Mytilus edulis: one gene and its partners. The protein of the gene in region 2 binds, or shares a complex with, the protein of the main gene of each other region. Links are inferred from orthologs where the notes say so. Each region holds a gene or a part of one and is shown on either strand. Other genes may lie near its edges. The genes, in order: ruvB-like 2; DNA-directed RNA polymerases I, II, and III subunit RPABC1; general transcription factor IIF subunit 1-like; transcription initiation factor IIA subunit 1-like.

Region 1 (7,970 bases), on a different chromosome or scaffold from region 2:
TTTGTTAAAAAAATAATTTATTCAATGAAAAATTGAACAATATAAATTCTTTTAATTCTTTTTAACCCTTTCAACGCTACACAAAAAAATAGAAAAATGGCTGCTGCTGCTGCATTTTTTTTTGTGTTCATTCATTAGAACAGTATATTCCTTTTCAGACTGCTGTATCTTTTTTATTGTAAGAGATACAGAAAAAGTTATTGCATGAAAAATGCTCAGGAGAGTATGAACTGTAATGCTAGGCAGTTATTTCAGTAAAATTTTTATCAGGTTACCTGCATTTTCAGGTAATTAACAGGTAAAAGGTGTAATTTGTTACATTTGTGTTGAATTTTGAATAAAAACTACTTTTTGTCTTCATCTATTTTTTTTTTATCTGCCATATAATAAAGAAGACACCAATTGCTCAATTCCGTAGCGTATTGCACCATACACAACGTATTATGTAATCATGGCACAAATCAGTGGCTCTGTCCTCAAAATTTTCAGTCAACCTCCGTTTTCCCCCCTTTTTCTACGTCTCGTAATGATCGATCAAATCATATTTCCCACATGAATTGAATGTAATAAACACATTGAGATAACAAGAAACCTTTTAACTAATCCTCGTCATCAGTTTCGCCATAGAAATGCTGAAATATTTCCATATTTACAGCTTCGTTTCCGATTTCTGCCATTTGCATTTGTCAAAATATTTGTTTTTATTTTCTTTCAATTTTCCTTCTACTGCATGATTTTACAATAAAAATTGCCGGGATTTCAAGATCAATGAGACCTTGCATATCCTCGATTCATACAAGGAAAAATTAGAGAGGACCCGAATGAAAACCGAATGGTTTAAGAGTCCTTATGAAAAATCCGTTGTCATCGCGGCATATGCTGCGAATAGCAGTGGCGGACGATGTATGTCATCGCGGCATATGCCGTGTATAGCGTTGAAAGGGTTAAAACTAAATTAAGCTGACTGCTGCATGATCTATATGTAAAATTAAAATCTCCATAGAGGAAAGTGTTAACAAAGTTTACCTATTCTTTCAATCCTTGTCACCTCTCTCACTTCTTTAACGGTTTCTGCTGATGGCTGTAACAAACAAAACATATTATGCACATATATCTTCTTATCTTGCCTTGTGTTATTCAAATTTTCAGAATAAAGTAAAAAAGAGATTCTTTAACATGTTTAAGGTTTTTGAGGCAATTTATTATTATTAAATTGAATATCTATCAATCTATCCCTATGCAGATTACAGAATCAGTAGAAGTTTAAAGTTTATTAAAAATAAGTTGGAACTAATTAAGATTTTTTTTACAAAGCATTTTTTATATTTTGAATTTATTCAATTTAGAGGTACTGTGTCTTTTTCGTTTGTTTGAAATTATGATGCCTACATCTTAATCACTTGGTGATGGAAGTCATATGACAGATTCAACTAACTACCATATCCCAGAACTGGTCTATCATGAGGAATAGTGTGAATCTGGGTCTGTTCGCCCAGCGTCCATTCGCCCTAATTTTTTTTATTTTTTGGGGATTGTTGTTTAATTCATGTAATTAAAAAATGTTCATTATTTGAACAGAGTATGTCAGATTTATTTTATTCATAACTATTTTTGCAATTCTAATTAGTCTAGTCATCAGTCGTAATAAATCAATGAACTTATGAATCCTATTCATGTTTTACAATTCGTAAACGATTGGTTTTTTTTAATCATTCCATGCTGACTGTAGTTTATCAAAACAAAATGTTGTTTTATTATTTTTCCATTAAAGACTTTTATGAGTATTGTAATTATTACAACAATCAATGAGAATTAATATTACCATAAACAATAAATTGCTCTAAAACAAGCCAGTAACTTTAACAGTCTGCACGGTTAGCCACTAGTCCGATGCCCCAGACTAGTAAAATTTGGTTCGGACTAGTAAGTTTTTGCAAAACTTTGTTTGGTCCAATAAGAAAAATGTCAGAATATTGGTCTTCGGACTAGTAGTTGAAAAAGTTTTTGGTGCAGACTGACTTTAAAATCTTTCCATGTATTTTCATGAATTTTGAGTATTTATACCAAATAATTATCTGAGTAAACCTATTAAACTTTAATAACCGTGAAATAACATTTTTTTAATCAAAACATGCAGAACAAATTCAAGGCGAACATGTAATCAGGACAAATGGACTTGATACCTATATACATGTATAGCGATTATCATGATTATGAGTATTGTTCATGCTGGTACATATTCAGACTAAATCATTAACACTATTTGTGTAGGTGTACCGTCAGAACTGTTTTTGTACTATAATTAATATTAGACAGTTTTACTAATGATGGAATTGCAGCTGCGGTCCTTATGCTATTTTTTGACTATTTGTGGACCATAGAGCTACGGATTTTTCCTATTTCAAAATGTTCGGAATTGCGACCCAGGTTCAGGTCGCACTTATTTCCCAAAAATGTATTGTTTATAATCATAAGCTCTATGGTCTGCAAATAGTCAAAAAATAGTATAAGGACCTAAGAGCTACGGTTCCGCAGCTAATGGAATTGATGCATTTTTAAATTTCTGAAAATTTTTATTTTTTTATATTTTGTTGGAAAGTTCATCTGAAATTTAGTTCGCAATTTTGGATGACAGATATCCTATAAGACATTTGTTTTAAGTTATCTTCGAAATTGCCTCTCATCAAGTAACAGGTAACTACTTGTGCAAATTATATTTGTTTTCTTTCACTTTTCGCTTTTTGTTTTTGTTGACAACAAACACGTGGGGGCCGTCACCTCACAGATTGGGAACCCAAATAAACTTTAGAGGTCAATATATGTCTAGGAGTCTAGCTTTGAAGTTTCATAATGCTTTCTTTGAATAATCATGTTTTGATTACAGTCTAAAGGAGTTGATTTATCACGAAAAAGAAGAAAATGCGACTTACGACTGCCATTGCCGGTGTTTGTAGCGCCCTCTATCTAAGTACAATAATCTTCTGAGTCGACAAGAATATTCTGGAAACGGACATGTAAAAACGTGAAACACAAAACAGTGTCACAATCTCTATGGTTTCCCACAGGCACATGTCTCTAATTATTGTTAACTTTATATCTGTTATAAAAAGGTATTAAGCGATTTTTACAGAAACATGTGCATGTGGTTTGAAATATAATATGATTGATTCTCTTTTAAAATTAAAAATTGTTTTGAAAATTAAAATTAATAAATTTTATTGACTTGAAGAAAAAAAAAAGGTTCCTGCATGTTGTTGTTCAAATTCATGACAAGGTTTTTAGGATGCAAAGTAAAGTTTATTACCATTTCAAGAAATTGACTAGGCTTAATTCTGTCTTATATTGTTGCAATTTTTGCTAACTTTAAAAAAAACTGAGAAAAAATATGATAAATAAAATAGAAACTATATTCTCAGTAATTGTTCAGCCAAATAAGTGTTAAAAACAGATCTAATGACTGAAAAGGTCAGCCCACTGTTTTAAGTTTTTGCTAAGGTACTTGGGAATAGAACATTTTTTTAAGCACCCCCCCCTTTCTTTTTAATATATCAGTATTTTTTAGTTTTCTTTAAATCTGAATTATTTTTTTCATGTTTATCAGTGGGGCAAAATTAATACAAATATACAAGAAATGACATGCATTTCTTACACTTCCTATTTTTTTTCTTAATATTTTCCTGTTATCTTGAATTGTTGTTGTTGACCTTTCAAGTGATTTTAATATATATATATTTATGCCTCAATGAACTGGGAAATTTTTGGAATAGGAAGGCTTTTGGTTTGTATTGTGATGAAATCTCAAAATCCTGCAAAAGACAGAACTAGTGCAATTTGGTTATGATTAGGAGCTAAATTCATTAACAAATCTTTAGTTAACAGATATGTATGTTTGGTCATCAGTTTTTACCAATTCCTACAGGTATGACATAACCTCTCATCTCTGATCAGACATAATAGATACACAATTAAAATGATAAATTCAAAACTTTACTGAGGTTTTTTTTTATAATGTCCAACATTAATTTTAAGGAGTAATTAATACTTAGCTTCTGAATCTTTATTCTGCATCATGGCTATGACCTGAATACTCTGTTATTCTTTACTTTTTAATAAATAAAGAAATAAAGAGCTGCTGAACTAATGCCTCCTATGTTTTGTGTTTATAGTTCCTTTAAATGGATATCATATGATATCATGTCGTTCACCTGATATTTTTATTTACAATTGATGCATGAAATAATGCAACCGTTAAGTTTCAGATTTGTCTGAAAATTTGAGGGTAGACAAATGTTGACCTGATAAACCCCATTTCAGATTTGATCTAAATGCTTTGGTTTCAGAGATATAAGCCAAAATCTACATTTTACCCCTATGTTCTATTTTTAGCCATGGTGGCCATCTTGGTTAGTTGGCTGGGTCATCAGAACTCTTTTTAAAATAGATACCCCAATGATTATTGTGGCCAAGTTTTACTTAAAGGAGTAGGGGCATTAATGCCTGGTTTTAGCCCAAGAAAATAAAATGTTTGATATCTTTTTCAAATTGGCACATAATGTTTAGAAATGCATAGGATAAAAAAATATAAATGAAAAACAAAGATTTTTAACTGATGACATCACAATTACGTCAAAATATGTACTGTTTCCACAATAATGGTGAAAAATCCAGAATTTATGCAGTTTTCTATCATTATTTCTGTTGTGGAAACAGCGTGCTCAGCCAAGAAACAACAAAATAATTTAACAGAAGCATTATTATAACTGTTGATATAATCTCCCCAAATATAAAGTTGTTTCTTGGGTGTGCACATACTTTTTAAATCTAACATATACTTAAAATTTGATGAAAAACAAGGAAAACCATGAAAATTTTACAAAATTTGCAAATTATGTCATAATTTGTTGCCATGGTAACTCATTCAATGTCAAACTTGTTTTGTTTTTCTGGATAACTTGAACCTTAGTAAAGTTTTAAGTTATTTAAGAATATGTATGAAATTTTTAAAATTTGCAGTAATTTTTGCCCCTACTCCTTTGGTCCTGTAGTTTCAGAGAAGATTTGTGAAAAAAGTTAATGACAGACGATGACGGATGCCAAGTGAAAAGCCCACTTGGCCCTTTTGGCCAGGTGAGCAAAAAATAAAATACTGCTACATTGATAACAACATTTATTGTCATTAAAATATGCAGTTTACTTAAGTGTAGTTGTCAATGTAGCGGTGTTATCAAGTTTTTGTTATGGTTTTCTTTCATGTAGAGAATGATGACTGTATGAAGGACTTTTGGCATCAATTTAAAATATTGATTAACATACACTGTTGGGTTGCTGTCTCATTGATGTATGTTTTCCACAAATGTTTCTGATATAATGTAAATTCAGAAATTCTTGCTTTGTTTTTGTTTTTGTTAAAATTGAGAAAGGATAGGTTTTTCAAAAACAATAACTGATTTATTAAAATATATTCATCTATTCATACTTGTACTCTTTTTAGGGTGACTATATAATTTATATTTTACACCTGCTACAAAAGAAATGGGTGTACTGGTTAACATATGTCCATAGTTTAATAACATTTTGATCAAATTTTTCTCAGGAACTTAAATTTTGAGCTTCTGAAATTTGATATCAAGCTCCACATCGGCATGCTTGACTGTGTGATGCACTTTCAGATTCATCACTCATATACCACAATTTACTGATTACTTGTATTTAGACATATTATGAACATGAATACATTTTTTGTGACAGTCAAGGCTTTCAGAAATATGGAATCAACCTTTTATGTGTAATGCTCTTTACATCCCTCACTCATCAACTTCCTGTTTACCAAATACTTGTACAAATGTATTTAGACATATTATGAACATGAATACATTTTTTGTGACAGTCAAGGCTTTCAGAAATATGGAATCAACCTTTTATGTGTAATGCTCTTTACATCCCTCACTCATCAACTTCCTGTTTACCAAATACTTATAATAAGTAATTTCCTCAAATTAAACTTAAAATGCTAAAAAGGCAAAGAAATTCCTTTTTCATATAAAAAAACAAAGTTTTGCAGAATTTCTTTAATGTGCTAAAATGAATCAAAAGCACTGCATGATGTATCCATTATTGTGTACATACAAAATAATATAATAATAAATATAAATAACAAAATAATAAATTATAAATATAAAATATATCAAGAATTTCATTTTTTAAATTTGAATCATTCATTTACGAATTTGAATCATTTATTTACAAACTTGAATCATGAATTCAATTATAAATTTGAATCATTCATTTACAACTTTGAATCATCCATACATAGGCATATCAATTAACAGACATAAATTTTTTTGTTTAAAAACCTCATACTCCAAATACTCATATACCCAAGATTCAAATCAAAAAACTTTAAAACATGGTAATTTTTTTGGTTTTGAATTCTCTCAGCATGTTCACAGGTTTATTATTTCATGGTTTTTAAACATTACAACACTAATTTATTTTTAATGATATATATTATATAGGTACAATGGTTAATGTATTTGTAGCCACAAAACAACAAAGATCAAATACAACACAAAAAAAACAAAACTTTTACAGTATTCAACATGAAATAGCCAAGTGTTTTGAATCAAGCCAAATTACAAGTTTATATAATGATGAATGATTGACCTGGTAGGTATCTTTCCTGAGATTTCAGGTAGAAAGCACACACTGAGCCTAAATCAAGTGAATTTTTTATCAATTTTAAAAACAGAAAAATTTGCTTGTAGTTTCAAGCCAAAATTTCAAGCAAATTATGACTTCTGATATGTAAAGTAAAAAAAAAACCCAGTGCTGATCAAAGAACAAAGATCTATATCAATTTAGGCAAAGTCTATATACAAACAGCCAACAGTATTAAATTGACATATCTAAATGGCTCAATTTTAAATGTGAACAGCACATTTAACCATAAAACATTACACCAAGACATTAAAGTTTTAGCATAATGAACATATACAATCTAGCAAATGAGGCATCAAACTGTTTAGAATGTATACAACACTCATTTTACATCTAATAAAATAAATTTGTTTCACTTTTAGTGCAAAATCTAATGCATACAAAATTTATATATAGTACATTTATAGTCAAACTTGACAATTGCAAAATAAATAAACTGTTTGGACTAATAATGAAATGACTCACTAACAATTCAATTTCAAATTTGCAAAAATATTTATTTGTATAAATTCTATATCAATCTGATTTCTATATATTTGGACTTTTGAATGTCAAAATGGGAGATAACTCATAACTTCTAAAAAAAATTATTTAATCAATTGTTTAATTTTTAGATTTTTAGAAGTGATTAAGCAAGGAAATTTGATGAAACATTGAAACAATTAAAGGAGATTACAAAATTCTGCCTTTATTTAATAAATCTGGTCTCTCTCTTGTAGACATATATAGGGTTTTTTAACCTCTCCACAGTGTGGTATTATCAAATTAGGAGCTTAGGATTTAATATTCACAAAAAGGTACGAAAGCATATAATACAATATTTTTTCTAGTTCAGTATCAAGCTTTAGACAACATTCGCTCCTGTCAATCACTCAGATTTAACCTTTAATTCATTCAGATAAATAAAATTATGAACATTCTATTTCAAAAACAGCACCAAACTATAAGCAAATATGAAATAAAATCTCTCTGAAAGACTGTAATAAAATTGAAGTACACCTCTATCAATGTTTACTTATTACAATTTATACACAAGTATTTTCATACTTTTTTGTTTACTTTTATCACACATTGAAAAAGGCAGTCTTGATGACCAAGGAATACTCAACAGAAAATTGCAAACATTTTCAACCTGTCCTGCCTCGGGTCACACTATTTACTTTGAACATAAACTGGCAAAAATTCTTAACTATTGTTTTGGAAATACTCATTTAGCAGCAAAATAAAGCTGTGCATAATACAAGACTGATGAA
Region 2 (6,967 bases):
TCAGTTGGATTTTGCTGTTTAACTGATTGTAGAACTGCATTAAAGTCCTGCGCTGACAGCTGTTGTAACTTCTGTAACACATCATGTGGAATAACTTTTACCAGTTGGTCAATCATATGTTGGTTAAAATTTTCCATCTTGAATGAATGATTGAAACTAGTTCACATTGCATTATATACTAAGGGATGTAAACTTGGATAGGTCAACGTGTATGCCACGTTTACAAGATAATACGTAGGAGGGTAGGGGGGATTAAAAAACATGTCCGTTAATTGTTTTCCCCACCGGATTTTAACGAGGATGTTAAGTACAAGTTAAGAAGATTAAGAGATTAATCCACTTCAGTTAAGAGGATTATAACCAGGATGTTAAGAAGCAGTTAAGAGGATTAGGAGATTAATCCACTTCAGTTAAGAGGATTATAACCCGGATGTTAAGTAGCAGTTAAGAGGATTAAGAGATTAATCTACTTCAGTTAAGAGGATTATAACCAGGATGTTAAGTACCAGTTAAGAGGATTAAGAGATTATAGACCGGATTTAACGTCATAGTTAAGAGGATTAGCTGTGACGTGACTTCCGGTGGCGGGTTGGTGGCGGACTGACCCCATTTCATACTACTTATCTGGTCCTAGGTCCAATGTAGTCCAAATAATTATGCCGTCTAGAAAGGCTATTTTTGATTTTGCTGTTACGCCTGCCTACGTTGAAGGAAGGCGTCGATTTTTTTTTTTTATCAAAAAGTGGTACAAAAACGGCATAATTATTTGGACTAGGTGCAATGGAATTCTATTCAACATGTTATTTACAGCCTCATCCAAGTTGTATAATGTTTCCCTGTACATCAGTAAAATTGTAAGAAATGAAATAAAATGTGGTCACCCAGGAACATAAATATACTGTTCCCAGGGTCACCAAAAATATCTAGAATTAAACTGATTTTTGGGTTTATATGACTGTAGAAAAATAATTTGTGAAGAAAAAAATCATATGGTGGACAGCATTGACTGAAAAGAAAAAAATAACCTAAAACGTGAAATACGTAACTGTATTTATTATTTAACAGTGGCGTAGCTACCGTTGACGCAAAGACGCACTTGCGTGCAAAAGGAAATGGGAAAAAAATCGTAATTAAAAAAATCAGAACAGTCAAAAAAAAGAAAGAGTGCGATTCACTGTAATTATATATAAGCAGGGTTAAAGAACATTATTTAGTCGACCTGTTAGTCAAATGCGTTTTGTTTATATATTTTTTCACTTTTTTGGTCTTTTGGAAAATGTTGTTTGTGCTGTATTTAGACCCTTCTACGACGAAATTTGTTTTACATGCACACGTATAAAAATTGCGGTTTTTATTATCCAACGCAATCATAGGTTTGAACGTAGTTTTCAATTTAGACTTGTATATATATATATTTCCTGTTTGTGTAGTATTGTCAATTTTGATGATCCAATATCTATTAAGTTTACTGGTTGGTAGATTCTTATAGACTCTCTATATAGGTGTTTCAATTTGTCAAAACGGTTTCCGTGTTTTCTATCAGTTCTGTTTTGTTGTGCGTACATCGGTATATACAATTTTAAGCCGACCATCTACTAAACGAACTACGAGATCGTCTTGTCAATTCGGAAGAACGTTTTCTTGCCCAGATGCTTCTTCCAAACAATCTGAAAAGTTTCAATCGGGACCATCAAATTCGCATATTTCGCGCCTATGAGTCAGATCTTCAATGTCCGTTCAGGTCTTTTATTTCCCCGACAAGGTCCGATTTTTGTAACTCAACAATTATTTTTTCGATAAAATTCTATATCATTTCAATGATATATTATACCTTTCCTATTACAAAATTCATATTTATGGAGATTGATTGAAAAGTGTTAATGAACTTGAATAAATCTGACCGCAGATTTTCAAGTCAATTGAGGTTATTTACTTTCCCGTTCAGGTCCGAGTTTTAACACCCTTACCGTGAATATTTTTCGTATTTTTTTTTTAATATTATCATTATATTGAACTTTTAGCTTTACAAAATCTAAAGTTGAAAGAAATTCATTGAATATTAAAAAAGTTAGTGAAGTTAGAATAAGTTCAATCATAGATTTTCAGGTCTTTTCATATCTCCGTTCAGGTATCAAAAATCTGTTTTTTTTTATTTAAAACATTTAATCTTTAAAAAAAACTATGAATATTTAAGTTTAATAAAATTATAACTTGAGGAAATTCCATTGAATAATAAAAAAGTTATTGCATTTTGAATAATTTGAGTCGTACCCTTACGTTTAGTCCAAATAATTATGACGTCTTGAAAGGCTATGATATTTTTTTTCTTTGACGCCTTACGTCAAAAAAATAATATGGGGACGAAGTCCCCAATTACGGTAGAAAAATCAATGAAAAAAAAAAAAAAAAAAAAATCTGGGAAAATTTCCCGAATTTTTCATTGTACTAATGAACTCAAAATCGTTAAGGTGTAACACCACTAATTCAGGCCCGGCCAGAAAGCACATACCAGAAAGTAGTACATATTTAACACAAAATAGTTCCTACGCATGAGTGTAACTTTCAAAATATGTAGAATATTTAGGTATTTTTGGTATCAAATGAAAGCTGAAGGACTGGTGATCATTGTAAAACACTTTTGGACTTTTGATTTTGAATATTAAAAAAAATGCACCAAATTTTAAAAAGAGGGTACATTTTGTCTGTTTGTCAGATCTGAAGTACCTGTTTTGGTACATCCAAAGTTTCGGGAACCAGTTCTTTCTTATATGCAATTAAAGGTATGTTGATTTTTTCAGTACAAGACACCATAAAGGGTTGCTTTGAAATGCAATGATTGCCACTTTATTTGAACTTAAAACAAAAGAGGTGTGCCTACTTGAAACGGAGGAATTTAACATAGAAAGCAATGGGACCATGAATTAGTGGTGTACTTCCTTAACGTTTTTATTCAGATCTAGTTCCTGTTCCGGTTTTCCCGCATTTGCGCAGAAATCTGTCTTGTTTGCATGAGACTTTGATTTTTTTTTATATTTATCAGTCTAGTAAAACATAAGATTGGATCTCAATACAAATTCAATTTTAATAATTGTTTGATATGGAAAAAAAAACGTTACGTTACCTGATGAAAGCGTTTCTTTTGTTTACATCGAATATGACGTCATAACTTAAAGAACGTCACAGCTAATTCCCTAAAAACAGAACCAAAATCGGGAACGTTACGTACGGTATTTCGGTTTCTTTTATCAACATGATTGAATTAAGAAAATAATACATACAGACTTCGTCCCCATTCACAGGTTATGCCTGCCTCATATTATGGGGACGAAGTCCCCAATTACGGTAGAAAAATCAATAAAAAAAAAATTTAAAAAAATCGGGAAAATTTCCCGAATTTTTCATTCTACTAATGAACTCAAAATCGTTAACTTTTTTTTTCAGATCTAGTTCCTGTTCCGGTTTTCCCCGCATTTGCGCAGAAATCTGTCTTGTTTGCATGAGACTTTGAAAAGAAAATTATATGTATCAGTCTAGTAAAATATAAGATTGGAACTCAATACAATTTCATTTTTAATAATTGTTTGATTTGAAAAAAAAAAAACCGTTACCTGATGGAAGCGTTTCTTTTGTTTACATTGAATATGACGTCATAATTTAAACAACGTCACAGCTAAATCCCTAACCACAGAACCGAAATCGGAAACGTTACGGTATTTCCGTTTCCTTTATTAACATGTTTGAGGTAAGAAAATAATACATACAGACTTCGTCCCCATTCACAGGTTATGCCTGCCTCATATTATCAGTCAAAGAAAAAGAATATCATAGCATTTCAAGACGTCACGTTGGACTACCTCACGTTATAAATGCCTTCGGGCCTATTCAGGTCTTTTCAGGTCCACTTTCAGGTCTTTGGTGTAACCCGTAAATTACTTTAACCCGTACTCGGTCTTGTTTTAATCTAGTATGTTACAACTTCCGGTTAATTTTCACATGTTGCAAGTTTATTTCAATTTTAGCTTTCTATAACAACATAAAGAGAAGCTACGAAGATGGATGATGAACAAGAAACATACAAGTTATGGAAAATACGTAAAACAATAATGCAGGTAATGAGAACAACACAATTAGAAATATAAATTAAGTAATAACCATGTTTTGTTCGGTTTGTTTTGTTCATACAAATGTAAAATGAAAACAAGTCTTAGAAGAATCTTATTTTTTTGGTGTTATATTAAGTTCCTTGAAATAAATATAGGCTAGCGCTCGTCACTATAATTATTCAATTATTTCTTGGTGAACCGGGAAAAATACTTCATAAATTAAAGAAATGTCAAAGTACAAGTGATAAATCCAGTTTTAATATTGTCAAAACCTACTATTTTATGTTTACAAAAAAAATTATAATCGCTCGCCTTTACTTTTCAAACTTCGCCTCAAAAATTAGCAAATTAAATATTTTTTTATTAAAATTTTCAAATCGCTCGCTCGCCCCAATTTTTAGAGTCCAAAAATCCATAGAACAAGAAATTAAATTGGTGTGGCCTAAAATCAAATATCATTGAATTTGGATGATAATTTTAAACTGGTTCTTTGTCAGATACTTTGTAACAGGAAAAGGGTATATTCTCCCAACCCAGTCTTACAAATTGGAATCAGCCCTGCACTTTGTATATAACATTTTAAAAGGTACCGTTATGATGATGTTGATGTAACAAGACAGTTTATCACTGGCACAAAACAAATCAACTCCATGTTTAATAGACAGTTCAGCACTGTTGGAGACATTTCAGAACCATGTCAAACATATTTGATAAGTGTTTGAAAAAACATTTCAGAATATTGAAATGAATGCCCTGTTTTGTTACACTATCATTAATCATAATAATCAATATGTTATCAACATGTACATTTTGTAAGACCAGAATACAATATTATGAATGGGTGCCACTTATAAATATTACAAAACAGATCAAATCTGAATTAAAATTGACAATATCTTTCTATATATATGAAAATACAAAAGGATTTAATTTATATGGCATTTCCCTGACCAATACCTCATAATAATTATGAAAGGGGGATTATTGGAATGTCATGGAAGAATAAATGAAATAAACTGTTTAGATAGACCCATGGCACAGTCCAGGCAAGTTTATACAACAGTGTTGGATATGTTCTAACTCTAAGTTTAGTTGTGATATAAAAAAACAACAATAGAGCTTATAGATGTAGTTTTTTATCTACATATTTTTTTCAGTTATGCCATGACCGGGGATATCTTGTAACACAGGATGAATTGGATCAAACATTAGATGAGTTTAAAGGCCAGTTTGGAGACAAGCCAAGGTAAAGAAAAATGTGTTCATAGTTCTCGAATCATCGGATGCCCCACTCGCACTATCATTTTCTGTGTTCAGGTGTGAAATTGGGTTCAATCTTTGATTTGACATTAAACTTAGAAAGATCATTTCATAAGAAACATGTTTACTAAGTTTCACTTTAACCTGCAGCTTGATAGACGGACTCATGGATGTACAGATTAACAGAGACACAGACTGAAAAATATAATGCCCTATGTGGGACATAAAAAAAAACAAACTTGCATTACTGTAAAGACAAACATAAATTTTATGATTTTAAAAAACAAGACAACCTGCAAATGTATTCGATGCATTTATCGGGCAGTTTTAGATAAAAACAAGGAAAACATTTTCATCATAAATAAAATTAGACTTAGTCAGTATATAACTACAATGTAACTTAAAACATGCAATTATGAAAAATAACACAACATATTTACATTTTGAACACTTCACATATTTCTTTCTTTTATCTTTTGAATATGGCGAAATCTTAAATATTCCGAGATTTTGATTATGTATATTATTATATAACAAAAATATATCTGCACATGGTCATTGGGAATATCCCATTTTACCACTTAATGCCAAAGTTTAATGTTCAAATTTTTTTTTTAATTACATGTGCCATACATCAAAGTAATTTTGATTTAGATTCTCTTATTCTTATGGTAGTAGTGGAGTGTGATATGATAAATTTGTGAATTAAATCTTCATAAATAAATCGAGTTGATATTGACTGGTTAAGTGATATCTAATGCTTATTTTTTTGTGCACTTTAATGATATTTTACAGGATTGTAACAATATACTTCAGATAAACTTACACAAACATCTACCTCAAGGGTCTGAAATGGTAATATTTTCCACTCATGACTGATTTAAGTAACAATATGACTGAAAAAATGTAAACAATTGCAGTTAATTTGAAATTTTCTAAGATCTGATATTTAAACTTCTGAGGTTTAGTAACAAGAAATTAGGACAGTTTTGTAAAATGAATGTGTATAATACTTTCTTGTAAATTTCAGTGAGCGTAAACCAGCTAGAAGTGATTTGATTGTTCTTGTGGCACACAATGATGATCCAACAGGTAACAATCTTATTAATAGAATTGATGAAGTAAGAATTTTATATTCATTGAAAGGCTTAGTAGAGATACAGACATCTGCAAAGTAACAATAAAATACGTTGATGTTTAGTTTTCATTTTACTTTGCACATTCAAAAGGTTTCCCTATTTCATAATACCAATTTGTTAAATGTTTTAACAAGTTTTAGCTTTATATATTCATCTCTTTAAATTGGTCTATTTGGAATATTTAAGCTCATTGCTAGTGAAAGGTAGGTAGTATGAAGCAAGTGCAAAGTAACAAAATATTCTTACAATAGTGATGAAAGTTTGCACCCGGTTAAACTCTAATTAATCAATTCCATTTTCACTGTAGATCAGATGTTTGTATTCTTCCCAGAAGAACCAAAAGTTGGTATAAAGACAATTAAGACTTACTGTCAACGTATGCAGGAGGAAAATATTACCAGAGCTATAATTGTTGTACAGATAGGGATGACCCCATCAGCAAAACAGGTATATTTATATCAGTTA
Region 3 (7,293 bases), about 83 Mb from region 2:
TAAAAATTGTTGGCTTTCCTGATGATCACATGGAGTTTCATTTAACTCTTTATTTGTTTTGGCACTAACTGAATCTGTTTGACTAGCTGACATTGATGTGCTGTCTGAACCTTCATATGATGATAACATGTTTGTACGTTTTCCAGGCATTTGACAAAATGGCATTTCATGTGATATTGCCATTTGAACAGTCACAGATTCATCCGAATTCAATTTCCTCTTCTGTCCTAAAATAACAGAAGAATGTTACAGACAAGAAAATATTGGTGATCAAATTAAAAACAATTGGGAATATGTCATGGGACACAGATGATGTTTCTGCATTTAAAGGGACATAACTCAAGAACAATAAAAGTGCATGAAACAAACTATATAAATTAGTAAGATAACAATATTTTCAGAATCCTAAAGACTATGCAAAATGCAATTTTTGTATAAAAATAAAATTAAGCTATTCATTGAGTATACATTACTTTGTTATGGATACTCGTAAGAAATCACATTGTCTTGGTGTGTGATTTTAATAATAGAATGCCTAAGACTCTGAGAATTTGTTTGTGTTTTGAAATATAGTTTTCATCAATGCCACTGGATGAAAATGGAATAACAAAAATCAGGTTAAAAATAACATAGGTTTAACATACAACCTGTTGTATAGCCTCTCTCTACCCATGGAATTTGCTTTACTTTGGGATCAAGCTTCCTCAACTTCCATACAAATGCTTTGTATTGTCTTTGTAAGTGATCAATTTTCAGATTAAATTCTTTAATTTTTGCTTCAGGGTAACATGGTACTTGTGATTGCTGAAATAATGAAATAATCAATGTATATTTTCCATTTCTTTTAAATTTAAATACATCTGAGTAAAAAATTGGAAAGTCATTTTATTGACTAATTTAACAATTCTTAATTAATCCAAAAAATAATACTCAGAAAAATAACACATCCTAAAGTTTCTCTCTCTCTCTCCTTCATTTAAATTTGTAATTGTTATATCAAAGGAAGATGTAGTTAAAAGGTAATATTTTTATAATGCAGGAATGTGAAACTGAAAGTCGTCAAAACACAGTAATATAAACAAACTATGAAAAAATAAGTTGAAAGCCATTTTTTTAAATGAAAGAAGGAAAATATTTAACTTCATTAAAAACCCATGAAACTTTTCTAAGTTAAGTATGTTATTATAAATCACTTTAGTATGTTATTAAATCAGTTTGTTTTCTTTTTCTCTTTCATCAATATTGATAGTTGTTTTTAACCCTTTCAACGCTATACACGGCATATGCCGCGATGACATACGCCGTTCGCCACTGCTATTCGCGGCATATGCCGCGATGACAACGGATTTTTCATAAGGACTCTTAAACCATTCGGTTTTCATTCGGGTTCTCTCTAATTTTTCCTTGTATGAATCGAGGATATGCAAGGTCTCATTTGCGCTTGAAATCCCGACAATTTTTATTGTAAAATCATGCAGTAGAAGGAAAATTGAAGGAAAATAAAAACAAATATTTTGACAAATGCAAATGGCGGAAATCGGAAACGAAGCTGTAAATATGGAAATATTTCAGCATTTCTATGGCGAAACTGATGACGAGGATTAGTTAAAAGGTTTCTTGTTATCTCAATGTGTTTATTACATTCAATTCGTGTGGGAAATATGATTTGATCGATCATTACGAGACGTAGAAAAAGGGGGGAAAACGGAGGTTGACTGAAAATTTTGAGGACGGAGCCACTGATTTGTGCCATGATTACATAATACGTTGTGTATGGTGCAATACGCTACGGAATCGAGCAATTGGTGTCTTCTTTATTATATGGCAGATAAAAAAACAAAATAGATGAAGACGAAAAGTAGTTTTTATTCAAAATTCAACACAAATGTAACAAATTACACCTTTTACCTGTTAATTACCTGAAAATGCAGATAACCTGATAAAAATTTTACTGAAATAACTGCCTAACATTACAGTTCATACTCTCCTGTGCATTTTTCATGCAATAACTTTTTCTGTATCTCTTATAATAAAAAAGATACAGCAGTCTGAAAAGGAATATACTGTTCTAATGAATGAACACAAAAAAAATGCAGCAGCAGCAGCCATTTTTCTATTTTTTTGTGTAGCGTTGAAAGGGTTAAATTAAGGGAACAGCAAATATTTGCCATCATCTAGAGCACTTCCATCCAAAAGAATTGCTGTATTGCTCCTATAATAATAGAAATAATGCATAAGGACTTGAATTTAAACTGATTTTACTACTGGTTGACATTTACTGTTGATATTTTACCCCTCCATATCACTTTTTGTAAAATATTCAGATAAATATGCTAAATATTTTACAGGGAGGGATACAATTTTGGCATACAGGGTTAACCTGTGGTAATATCAGTATAAATTCAAGAACCTATGAACCACTTCTTTAATATACACATACTACACAAAAATGTACAAGTTCTTGCATGTTAAAATCTATTTACTTACTAACTAAGTGAACAATTTCTTATGTACCGGTATACAGTTTTTTTCATATCAATATCATAATTACACGTAAAATAAATGTTCATGTGGTTATCTCAAGTAAGATGTTGCTTTATTTTATGAAACGTTTTTGTTTGTTTGGCAACTTAGTGTTGAAAGCTAGTTTTTATAGCTACTTTTGTTTCCTTTACAAATTTTCTTTTTTTCCTGGGACTTTAACTAATACATATATTGTATAGACACATATCTATTGTTAAAGACTGGATATATTTTGAACACATTTATTTTGAGTGTTATTGGGGTGCTGCGGCACTGCTGACTCACTGATATAAAATAAAATTTGAAAACTACACATAGAAACAAAATTGAAACTGTGACAAAGTAAAAGAAACTACCTTCAAACAAAAGTCAATATCATCTTTAATACTTGGTATCCAGTATCTGATGTCTTCAGCTGTATTGATTTCATCCTGTTATAATAAGAAGTAGATTTCCTTTATTGATAAATACAGATTCTCTTTTAAAGGAAAAAGAAGCAGGAATAGGTATATAATTCCCTTATTCACCTGGAAACATAATACATCATGTTGAACATACTTAATTAAAATTTCATTTTCATAAATTAAGAACAAGAATCCATCTCCCTAAGGCACAGTTGACCGTAAGTATTCACTCATTCCTGGCTTTCAAATGTTTGTTTGAACATTCCTGATTCATGAACATAAATTCTAAAAATAGCTTCAAAGACACAGAATTTATCAAGTGTTGATTTAATTTGTTAAACACAATGAATATAACAAAAAAAAACCTAACAACATACCAATCTAGGTCTTTTGGGATTTTTCTTCTGCTGTTCTGAAATATAAATTAAATCAAATGAATCAAAGACCCAAATGGCAAGGTGGTGCAGACATTTTAAACATATAATACAGGGCTGCCAAGTCTCACGCATGTTCATGCTTTTTTGGCTGCATTTTCCTTTGAACTATTGTTTTTTCTCTTTGATCTTTTCAATTTTGGTCATTAAATCTCACGCATTTGCTTCATGAAAAGTTGGCAGAACTGTATATATAGTTTCTTTAAACAAAAAGAAGAATATCTAAAATGTGTCACTCAGTAATGAATAACCATGGACTTTCTATACTTAGTACAGAAAGTGCCTGGAATAACCAGAAGAATTTTAATATGTTATATAATCATGATAATAGAAAATTAATAAAAGATAATAACAGTTTAAATTCATCACTTTTACTAGTACTTTCACAGCTTTCACAGATCTGCAAGTAATGTGACTTGTATACATAAGTATAATATAAAACAATTCATTACTTTTACAAGTACTTTCACTGCTTTCACAGATCTTCAGGTGTATATAACTATAAGAAATATAATCAGAGACATATATACACATATATGTCTCTGATATAAATATAGAACAATTTTATATTTTACTATGCCTGGCCCTTTTTATATAACTTGTTAAAAATTGTTATTTGACTGCAACTTAAGTTGATATTAAAGTCAGTACCATCTTTTTGTTGCTTCAACAATAACCTATTTAACCTCCCAAGTTGTTTCTCCTCATTTCTGGCCATTCTTGTGTTATTTTCTCTTTTTGGTCAATGATAATTTTCTTGCTTTAATTGTTTTCGTATTTTAAAAAGTCATTGCAACTGAAGTGTCTTGATAGCTGTTTACTTCTTTTAATAGATAAAAGTGATCCTTTATCAGCCTTTTCTCTTTTCCTTTGAAATAACTCTTCACGAACTGTCCATTTGAGAATAATATAAATCCGAAAACATTACTATAAAAACGGCGTTGAAAATTTTACCGAAAACTTATAATTTTTTTATTTTTTTATTTTACGAGTTAGAAAATAGCCTATATAACTAAAACCACATTTTGATGGCAACGCCAATCAGTCAGCCACAGGTGGTAAGATTAATTTGACACATTATATAAGATGATACAATACAAGTCCTCACATCAGCTATCAAACACTTTATCGAGGATTTGTATAGTATACAAATCCTTGACTTTATCATGAAATTACCAGATTACCACATCCATGACATCGGAAAATATCAGTACAAGTACAAAGGCAAATACAACTTTAGGCTTTATACGACTGAATCTTGGTAAATGTCAAACGAATAATATGAGGCAGGCATTACCTGTAAATGGGGACGAAGTCTATGAATTATTATTTTAATTCAAATATGTTGATAAAAGAAACGGAAATACCGTAATGTTTTCGATTTTGGTTCAGTTGTTAGGGATTTAAGTGTGACGTTATTTAAGTTATGACGTCATATTCAATGTAAACAAAAGAAACGCTTTCATCAGGTAACGTTTTTTTCATATAAAATGATAAAACGATTATTAAAAATGAATAGGGCTCTTCACGGTTAGTTCGGCCATATTGGATAGGGGGCAGATTTTCATAATAGAGGTAAAAATGGTGTGAAAAATACGGGAAAACATCATTAAAACAGAGCTGTTGCTTGGAAACACACATAGGATTTCCCACACTTTCATACCATTTCCACCTCCTTCTAAAAAATCTGCCCCCTATCCAATATGGCCGAACTAACCGTGAAGAGCCCTATTGGTATTTGAGTTCCAATCCTTTATTTTACTTTACTGATAAATATATATTTTAGTCAAAGTCTCATGCATACAAGACTGGAAAAAGGAAATAAATTTCTGCGCAAATGCGGGGATTTAAAAAAGTCTGAAAAAAATTTAACGATTTTGAGTTCATTAGTAAATGTAGTATATACTAAAAAATTCGGGAAATTTTCTCGAATTTTTTTTTTTTTCTTCTTTTTTTTATTGATTTTTCTACCGTAATAGGGGACTTCGTCCTACATGTAATATAAAGCGTTAGATATATATGACCAACACTAGAATATGCTAGCAATGTCTGGGACCCACATCTCCAAAAACACATACAACAATACATCTTATCACTATTTGTCCGCCATTCTCTGGTATAGAAAATCCTATCTTCGAAGGAGTACTTTAATTTGCACAATGACAAATAGAAATGGTTATAAACATAAAAAGACATATGAGGTATGCCTTGTGGGATGAGTGTTGGTTACTGTTAAAGACCCTTACGCTTTTTTGATCATACAAGTTTGTAGTCTGTGTAGAGCAAAGCAAAGCTTCCTCATTATGTATTTTATAGTGTAGCAAGCATCAGTACATTTACACTTGCAACCACAGTCACAGATAAAGCTACTTGGATCCAATATAAAGTTAGTGTCTAGGGTGACGTACTATGGGTACATTTCATGCACACATCAATACTACATATTATGCAGATAAGGTGCACAGATTTCATGCAGAACTGGACATTCCATAAGAAAATAATCTATTGTTTCTGGCCTACCCTAGCACAATAGGCATGTTGGATCTACTGTGTTACTGGACATCGCAATAGTTCCCGTAAAGTTTTGACGTCACAATAGAAAATATCTGACAGATCAATGGAAATGTGTTTGCTGTAATGACGTCAACAGTTCAAGCAGGATTAGCCATAAGATGTATGTCAATGCAACTAGAAATGATCCAAAGGCAAAGGAGAGCAGCCAGATTCATCAGCATGAGTATACTCGAGACCCATATATTAGAGGACCTTATAAAACTACCACAACTACATAAGGGACGATAAACATCATGTTTACTCCCTTTTCACAAAATAATCCACCAATTTATTGCAATCCCAATTCCAGAATGCTTGATGACACCAGCAAGAATGACACCTCTGCTCCATCAAAGAGAATTTGTCAGATTAGGATCATGTTCTGAAAAAAAGAAAGCATAGGTTCTTCGTAAGAACCATCACAAACTGTAATGAACTACCACCTAGCCTATTAGTCAAGACCAAACTCATATCACACAGATCTGTAAATCAGCACACACATGTTTTTATCTGCACTGGCACATGTATATATATGTTAAACACCTGAACATGCTGAACATATGATTTTAAAAGAGCACTTTTTGATGACACAACTTTAATTTTAACTTAATTATGTGTATGATGAGTCAACTGACTGTTTACGTATTACCCATGTAGATGTAGATGTAGACATCAGAATATATAATCTTCTGACTAGTGACTAGTGTTTTTCCCAAAAGAAAAAATGTTCATTCAGCAAGCATTGTATTTTAAAGTTTACTCACACACATATATACAGATTATATGAATCAATTATACTTCTGTAATCTCATGATACTTTTGTTACTTTTATAGGCTGCAGCTTCTGGCAGTGCCACACAAGAACACAGTGTAAGAGTTCTCAAGTAAGTTGTTTATGCTAGAGGAACCAAAAATTTTGTTACTAACTTGGGACAATATAACTCATGGAGTACCAATTTTTATGGATTTTGTTGGGATTGATGAACCACAAAGTTAAGTGCTCAAATAATCTTTTCTCCATCCAAGAAAATTGGTATATTGTAGATTCAAAAATTAATTCAATCCAGTTATATTTCTATCTTAGTATATAAAATGCATTGGACAAAAATCATCTAGTCCATTTGATGCAACAGCATGAACAGGATTGTTAAAGTAACCTGTTCTGATCAAACCAAATATTAAAAATCATATGCATTTTCTGTTCTTTGTCGGGGTTGTTGTTGCCTTGACAAATTCCCTCCATTTCCATTTTCAATCTTGTTGGATTTCACTAGCAAATTGCTTCTTATATATATATCATGTATATATTGGTTAGATTTAGTGACCTCCAGTGAAATATATTGAAATGATCAACCTTAATGTTGTCATGGCTGTCCAGG
Region 4 (7,836 bases), on a different chromosome or scaffold from region 2:
ATACAATGTATCCTCATATCTCACAGATGGACGACTTCAAAAATGCATTGTGACTGATTACTTCAATTTTGTAGTTGTCAACTACCCATTCCTCAGCAGTTATATACCTTCTTCTCCATCGGATGACAATTTTCATATCTTAGTTTAAACGTTACGCTTTTTAATTTTCACACAATTCAGACTAAGCTGAGCTCTTTACAAAAAAAAAAAAACTCGGCTCCAACAGAGTTACGAGAATGAACGATTAAAACCAAAACTAAATTAATTTTACACTCACTATCAATAATTGGTTGACAGATACAATGTGTCGGAGTCTTAACTCAACAGTGACATGTTTTCGCGGTCTTTGTTGTCTTATATCTTGTCAGCGGCAGTAGAGTCCTCTTAACTTCTGAAATTCAGTACCAAGTATGTCATTTTGACTTAATGAATTCGCATGGCGGTGACGAATAAAAGGCAGGAAACGCTGGCCTGTCGGCACACTAGACACGCTCCTCAAGTTTGGAGGTTATTCAATTTACCCCCCCCCCCCCCCCCCCCACCCCCCCCCCCCCCGCCTTTGTTTGTTACATTAATTTGTCTCTTTTAAAGGATTTACATTATTTGAAAAGCAAAATAAATTACTATAATCAATTTTCAATTTTTGTGATGATGTTTTAAGAAAAATGGTATAATGGTAAATAAGATAATAATTCAACATTCATAAGTCGAAATGAAGCGGATTTAAGACGAATTAAGGTAGTATCATACAACGAGAAATCAATATTTATATGTCTTATTACTGAAATTGTCCAGTTTCTTAAATACAAAAAAAAAATATCGAATTTCAGTATTATTTGTATAGTTTAAATCATGATTTTAAACCAATTATACATTTTGCTAGATATAGGCCTATTGTCAACTACTTTTTTCAATTAAATAAAATTTTCAATTTAAAAAAAACAAACTAAATTTGAAACTTTTCTATTGATGCATTAAGAAATGATTACGAAAGCAGGGTTTCAATTCCCTGGGGGCAAAGCTGATCTAGCTAAAGTACATTTCTTTGGGTGTTATTTTTTGGTCCTTTAATTTTTGGACATATCTGATCTTTTATATCCTTCAGACCGTAGTCAGAGACATATATACACTGTGTATATGTTACAGTGAATTTGTATAATCAGTGATTATGTAGAATCCCTGAAATTTTCCTGAAATTTTCAGGGATTATGTAGAATCACTGCCTAGTTTAGGGATTATATATAATAACTAAAATTTTCAGGGATTATGAATAATCACTAGAAAAAACGTCAGGGATTCTACATAATAACTGAAATGAAGAAATTAATAGTTTTATTTATAAAGAAAATGAATGAAATTGAAATTATTTATTCTATAAAATCACATAAAAACATCATTATAAAGTAACATAAATTGTAAAATGTTAAGCACAATATATCAAAATGATAACCCAATTTTTAGCTCACCTGGCCCGAAGGGCCAAGTGAGCTTTTCTCATCACTTGGCGTCCGTCGTCCGTCGTCGTCGTCCGTCGTCGTCGTCGTCCGTCGTTAACTTTTACAAAAATCTTCTCCTCTGAAACTACTGGACCAAATTAAACCAAACTTGGCCACAATCATCATTGGGGTATCTAGTTTAAAAATTGTGTCCGGTGACCCGCCCAACCAACCAAGATGGCCGCCATGGCTAAAAATAGAACATAGGGGTAAAATGCAGTTTTTGGCTTATAACTCAAAAACCAAAGCATTTAGGGCAAATCTGACATGGGGTAAAATTGTTTATCAGGTCAAGATCTATTTGCCCTGAAATTTTGAGATGAATCGGACAACCCGTTGATAGGTTGCTGCCCCTGAATTGGTAATTTTGAGAAAATTTTGCTGTTTTTGGTTATTATCTTGAATATTATTATAGATAGAGATAAACTGTGAACAACAAAAATGTTCAACAAAGTAAGATCTACAAATAAGTCAACATGACCAAAATGGTCTGTTGACCCCTTTAGAAGTTATTGCCCTTTATAGTCAATTTTTAACCATTTTTCGTAAATCTTAATTATCTTTTACAAAAATCTTCTCCTCTGAAACTACTGGACCAAATTAAACCAAACTTAGCCACAATCATCATTGGGGTATCTAGTTTAAAAATTGTGCCCGGTGATCCGGCCAACCAACCAAGATGGCCGCCATGGCTAAAAATAGAACATAGTGGTAAAATGCAGTTTTTGGCTTATCACTCAAAAACCGAAGCATTTAGGGCAAATCTGACATGGGGTAAAATTGTTTATCAGGTCAAGATCTATCTGCCCTGAAATTTTGAGATGAATCGGACAACTCGTTGATAGGTTGCTGCCCCTGAATTGGTAATTTTAAGGAAATTTTGCTGTTTTTGATTATTATCTTGAATATTATTATAGATAGAGATAAACTGTAAACAGCAAAAATGTTCAGCTAAGTAAGATCTACAAATAAGTCAACATGACCAAAATGGTCTGTTGACCCCTTTAGGAGTTATTGCCCTTTATAGTCAATTTTTAACCATTTTTCGTAAATCTTAGTTATCTTTTACAAAAATCTTCTTCTCTGAAACTACTGGACCAAATTAAACCAAACTTGGCCACAATCATCATTGGGGTATCTAGTTTAAAAATTGTGTCCGGTGACCCGGCCAACCAATCAAGATGGCCGCCATGGCTAAAAATAGAACATAGGGGTAAAATGCAGTTTTTGGCTTATCACTCAAAAACCAAAGCATTTAGAGCAAATCTGACATGTGGTAGAATTGCTTATCAGGTCAAGATCTATCTGCAACAACAAAAGAAAGAGAGTTTTTAACGACCTCAGCTGGCTATACAACCCTTGCACAATCAACTGAATTTTGCAGAAATCATTAATAGGATAGATTGCCCTTATATGATAATTTTTTATTACCTTTTTGGTTTTTTTGGCAAAGTGGGGGGGGGGGGGGGGGGGGGGGGGGTGTTGCGCAACAACAAAACTACTTCACAACTTTCTCATTACTTTGCATTTCTTGTTAGATAAATTTTACAAAAATTCTCCCCTGAAACAACTGTTGAATTTAAACAAACTTGGTTTAAATCACCACTAGGATATCCAGGGACCACTGTGTATGATGACCCTGCCTGCCCACATGGCTGAAATTAAACATAGGTTTCAAATGCACTTTTTAGTATTATATCTCTGAAACTAAACGACAGTACAACAGTTGCATTTATCATGCAACAATTGTAAATAAAAATATCAGGTGAGCGACACAGGGTCCTTGGACCCTCTAGTTTTTAAATGTTAGGCACACTACATGAAAATGTGAAAAACAATATATAAAAATAATATGCTTCACATCTGTTATTACCACAATATCCACATTTTAGGAAACCTTTTCCTGCACATATCGAATCAGATTTTAACGACACGCCTAAGTGAAATTAAGTGTTTAGTAAAACATCTGAAGGTTACCACAAGAAAAGATAGGAATTTGCAACCTTGAACCGGTACGAGCAAGAAAGATACCATGTTTTGTAGTCAGGTGCTACCTTTTTCAGATTTTTTTTAAAACAATTGTCATTATGTTTTTCGGGTTTCCTTTTCCTTTTTTACCATGTGGAATTGCTATGAGAATATTACACCAAATGCAAGCTTCCTCTAAAATTTGTTTCTATGTGTCAATCCTAAGTTCTGCCTGTTTTCCCTACATTTAGATGCCTAAGTTCTCACAGTTTGAATGTCTTGTTCATTTAAACAAAAACAAAAACACACAAAACAGATGTTCCATAACCTTCTTCACCATTTGCTTTACATGTATCACAAATAACATGCTTTGTGGTTTAAAAATAGAGCATAAATAAGGCCGTTAGTTTTCTCGTTTGGATTGTTTTACATTGTCATTTCGGGGCCTTTTATAGCTGACTATGCGGTATATGGGCTTTGCTCATTGTTGAATCCGTACGGTGACCTATAGATGTTAATTTCTGTGTCATGTTGGTCTCTTGTTGACAGTTGTCTCATTGGCAATAACACCACATCTTCTTTTTTTTACCTGAATATTCATTTGACGCTGGCTTTTAATAAACAAACAATACATGTAAAGCTATTGCTATAAAGGGAATGTTGATATTATTAATTTTGAAGTCTTCAACTTTATCTCGAAACCCTGTCACGGTTGATTATATCTTTTAGATCAATCTCTGTGTTTAAAAGCAAAATTATTTCATCTGGCAAGGTCTATATTATTTTTTTTTATCAAACAAAGGATAATTAAATTATTCATAATCCCTGAAATCATATTAGGGAATTTGTAGAATAATTATTAAAAAGTTCAGTGATTATGTAAAATCACTGGTCATTTTCAGGGATTATATATATAATTACTAATGGTTTTAGTGATTCTACATATTCCCTGAAAAATCAGGGATTCTACATAATCCCTGATTATACAAAATCACTGTAACATATATATGTCTCTGTCGTAGCAAGGATTTGTATAGTCTCACTATACAAATCCTTGGCCGTAGTATACAATCCAAACAATCGGGTTGCTTCTGAATTTAAACACAGATAAACAAACAGGCATTTCAAATAGGCATATGTAACACTTATAAAAAAATATATAAAAATGCTAGACGACATATCGATTTCCAATGGGACAGTAATTCTGTGCATTTCGATATTTTAATTTAACATATGCAATCTTTTCTTGTAATCATTTCGTATTTCCCGCGTCAAGTTATCCTCGAAATATATCGCGAGACAATCAATCAGCTGGCAGGTGCTTGTGACGTCAACAGTAGCAGCGCCCTCTAGACATACGGGATTTAATACCAGCTATATAAGCGCAGCAGTGGCAGTCGACTTCGGCTTTCTTACAGCCCACAAGTCAGAGGAATATATGACTCGTTTTCCTCGGACATAAACAAACCATTAAATAATGGCTACACCTAACCAGGTGGTGAGTTTCAAAAGAAAATGATTGTTATGTTAAAATATTTGTTGTCTAAAATGTCAATACCGTTCATAAAAAAAATCATATATCGAAAACAATGGAATCCATCTTGATTTGTAAACTGATATAATCAACCACCGAACAACAGGTGGACCTGAATGAAAATTTGAATGTACTTGTGGAAAACCATAAAGCATCCAACATTTTAATTGCTATATCAGAAATACCACTAAAATGCTCATTACAAGTTGTATTTCATGTATTGTACACAATATTTTGCATCTTTTAAACCCCCCTTTTTCATGTTAGTTTAAGGTTCATGTGGACCCTATGGCTAAAATGGCCGTATTTTCACCTCAAAATTTACTCTGAGTACAGGCAAACCTGTGCATCTGGAAAAGTTTTAAGGCATAGCATGCCCTAGATAAATAGAATTCAAATGTATTGTATGATTTAGAAAATTCATAACTGAACTGGATTTTGCCGTACACTTTTTTTCGTCCCTGCAGAAGATGATAAAATTAACAAACAGTTGGGTTTACCTTGATATGGTCCACTCAGGTACACAGTTTAAATAACCAATTATTGTCAGGTATCTATTGTCCATCTCATGTCCATGTCTAGCAATACAGCTCACTTCAATTATTACCTGTGGGGAAGTTCTCAAACCTGTTTCCCAACTTAGTTTATTTTGGCACCTTCTGGAGGAATGAAAAAAAGTGCACGGCAAAATCCTGGTAAGTTTTTATTTTTCTAAAACATAAAACATATTTGAAATTTATTTATCTAGGGCATGCTATGCCTGAAATTTTTTACAGATGCGCAGGTTTGTCTGTACTCAGAGTAAATATTGAGGTGAAAATACGGCCATTTTAGCCATAGGGTCCACATGAACCTTAATAGAAGTCTTATACATGGATATAAATGAATATTAAAACAAATGTATAAATGTCATAAATGCGTTTGTCAAACTTTGTATTTGCCCTTATATTTTGTGAGCTTGATCTGCTTTATTTTGTCATTACGTAAAAAATGCTTTTTTTTACAATATGATATCTGAGGGTAGTAATGAGGGGGGATAGGAGGGATCCTGATCCCTAAATCCCGGGCTTAAAAACATGAAATCCCGAAATCAGGGGCTTAAAAACATGAAATTCTGAGGTCCTGAAATTCAAAAAAAAGAATTCCAGATCCCGAAAGGTTCAATCCTGAAATCCCGAGCTTAAAAACACCCCATTCCGGAGTCCCGATAATGGTCCTATCCCCCCTCAGTAATGCCCTTTATCATCGGTTAAAATTCTACCTTGATTTGTTAAAAAATATCCTTATCATGACTTGCAGAGTATCATCATTTTTCGGAAAAAATTAACGCGATTCATTAAACAATTTTAAATATCGTCTGAAAGAATAACATTTAATGGTCATGCATAAAAAATTACCTTTAACGTTATATGACAAGAATTTTCCCGTTATTCTAATATCATATGGCAAGAATTTTAGCTGTTACTCGTCCATTACAAGCCTCATATCTGGGTGTTCATTTCCTATTCTGGTAATACTTTAGTTTCTTTAAAAATGTCCTGTATCAATATTTCTTCGAGTAAACAGGTATTTGATAAAAATGAATAAGTAGATATATTATGCTGCCCTGTGAATTCTGTATGAGGCAGCTGCACTTGACTCTTATGATAAGAGTCTTATCTTAGTTGACTATTATTGTCAGTTTTCCTACTAAAGGTTGGGGGTTCTCTCTGGGCGCTTCTGCTTCCTCCACCAATAAAAACTGACAGGAACAAAAAAGCATAGTAGTGTTAAAGGTGGAGCTAAACACAAATCAATAAATCTCTATAAACTAAGAGAATGATATTTACATCATACATACAGGGTGTTTATACTTAAATCGTAAAAATCATTTTATATGATTGTCATGTAAGTTGTAACTGTAGATGCTTTGTTAAAGAAAAGCAGAAATTGTGCTATAAATTTGTACTAGAAACAATACCAATCAAAACAATGTTGAAAAGGTTGAAATGATAGATGTTAAATGTTTTCTGTTTTCTAATTGTAGCCGAGATTATACAAGTCAGTTGTTGATGATGTGATAGCTAACGTAAGAGAAGCCTTTCTAGATGAAGGAGTTGATGAGCAAGTCCTACAAGAACTTAAACAGGTGACATTATTAGTCATAATAGAACTTAATTATCATTAAAATTTTTTTATGAAATTAAAACTTTTAAGAGTTGTCTAAACTCACAGTAGAAGTAGAGGTTTTCATGTAATAATTTTGAGTTAAAGTTGAATGTATTATACAATAACTTAATTTAGAATATAACGCGTCTTCTGATTGGCTGACGTTATTTTGTTATCATAGACATAATTTAGTCATGTGACCGTGACGTCATCAACGTTTTTTCATGGTTTTCTACGGTTTAAAATGGAATTTAAAATTAAATTATAAGAAATGACTAATATTTTTTCTGTCTATTCGAAATAAAATAAAAAATGTGGTGCACACTGTAAAAATAACCTGCTACGCGCGTTATTCAGTGTGCACCAAATTTTTTATGTTATTTCTTCATAGACAGAAAAAATATTACAGTCATTCCTTAATTGTGTAAAACCTAAGAAATTTTGTTAGTTCCAGTATATCAAGGAAAATGATTTAATAATTTGTAACTTTTCTTGGTGTCATACATTTACATGTTAGTTCACTATGTTCACCAATTGAAAACAATGATCCATTAACAGGAACCAGTTTTATTTGGGTTGTTTTAACATTTTTTAAAAACATGTGTTGGCTTACACTTAAAATTATATCCCACTTTTGATTATTATTTATATATGTGTATAACACCAAATAACTGTTTTCCAAAGGACAAC

Evidence for each region.
Region 1: DNA-directed RNA polymerases I, II, and III subunit RPABC1 (region 2) and ruvB-like 2 share a complex: the UniProt entries of both Homo sapiens proteins name them as parts of the PAQosome complex. The link is inferred for Mytilus edulis from reciprocal best matches to the Homo sapiens genes POLR2E and RUVBL2.
Region 3: DNA-directed RNA polymerases I, II, and III subunit RPABC1 (region 2) and general transcription factor IIF subunit 1-like share a complex: the UniProt entries of both Homo sapiens proteins name them as parts of the TBP-based Pol II pre-initiation complex. The link is inferred for Mytilus edulis from reciprocal best matches to the Homo sapiens genes POLR2E and GTF2F1.
Region 4: DNA-directed RNA polymerases I, II, and III subunit RPABC1 (region 2) and transcription initiation factor IIA subunit 1-like share a complex: the UniProt entries of both Homo sapiens proteins name them as parts of the TBP-based Pol II pre-initiation complex. The link is inferred for Mytilus edulis from reciprocal best matches to the Homo sapiens genes POLR2E and GTF2A1.

The regions. Positions count from the first base shown.
Region 1 is NC_092350.1:44,665,931-44,673,900, reverse strand, and holds the start of ruvB-like 2, read right to left. Parts: upstream 3,026-7,970; 5' UTR 2,940-3,025; coding exon 2,931-2,939; intron 1,082-2,930; coding exon 1,027-1,081; intron 1-1,026. UniProt on the Homo sapiens protein: Possesses single-stranded DNA-stimulated ATPase and ATP-dependent DNA helicase (5' to 3') activity; hexamerization is thought to be critical for ATP hydrolysis and adjacent subunits in the ring-like structure contribute to the ATPase activity.
Region 2 is NC_092344.1:115,151,511-115,158,477, reverse strand, and holds the start of DNA-directed RNA polymerases I, II, and III subunit RPABC1, read left to right. Parts: upstream 1-3,949; 5' UTR 3,950-4,052; coding exon 4,053-4,109; intron 4,110-5,260; coding exon 5,261-5,349; intron 5,350-6,393; coding exon 6,394-6,455; intron 6,456-6,809; coding exon 6,810-6,949; intron 6,950-6,967. Other genes in the region: uncharacterized protein, read right to left, coding at 1-137. UniProt on the Homo sapiens protein: DNA-dependent RNA polymerase catalyzes the transcription of DNA into RNA using the four ribonucleoside triphosphates as substrates.
Region 3 is NC_092344.1:32,398,406-32,405,698, reverse strand, and holds the start of general transcription factor IIF subunit 1-like, read left to right. Parts: upstream 1-4,268; 5' UTR 4,269-4,389; coding exon 4,390-4,419; intron 4,420-6,748; coding exon 6,749-6,798; intron 6,799-7,293. Other genes in the region: uncharacterized protein, read right to left, coding at 1-227, 648-804, 2,880-2,954, 3,305-3,339, 4,013-4,079. UniProt on the Homo sapiens protein: TFIIF is a general transcription initiation factor that binds to RNA polymerase II and helps to recruit it to the initiation complex in collaboration with TFIIB. It promotes transcription elongation.
Region 4 is NC_092346.1:68,136,509-68,144,344, forward strand, and holds the start of transcription initiation factor IIA subunit 1-like, read left to right. Parts: upstream 1-4,811; 5' UTR 4,812-4,941; coding exon 4,942-4,962; intron 4,963-7,024; coding exon 7,025-7,126; intron 7,127-7,836. UniProt on the Homo sapiens protein: TFIIA is a component of the transcription machinery of RNA polymerase II and plays an important role in transcriptional activation. TFIIA in a complex with TBP mediates transcriptional activity.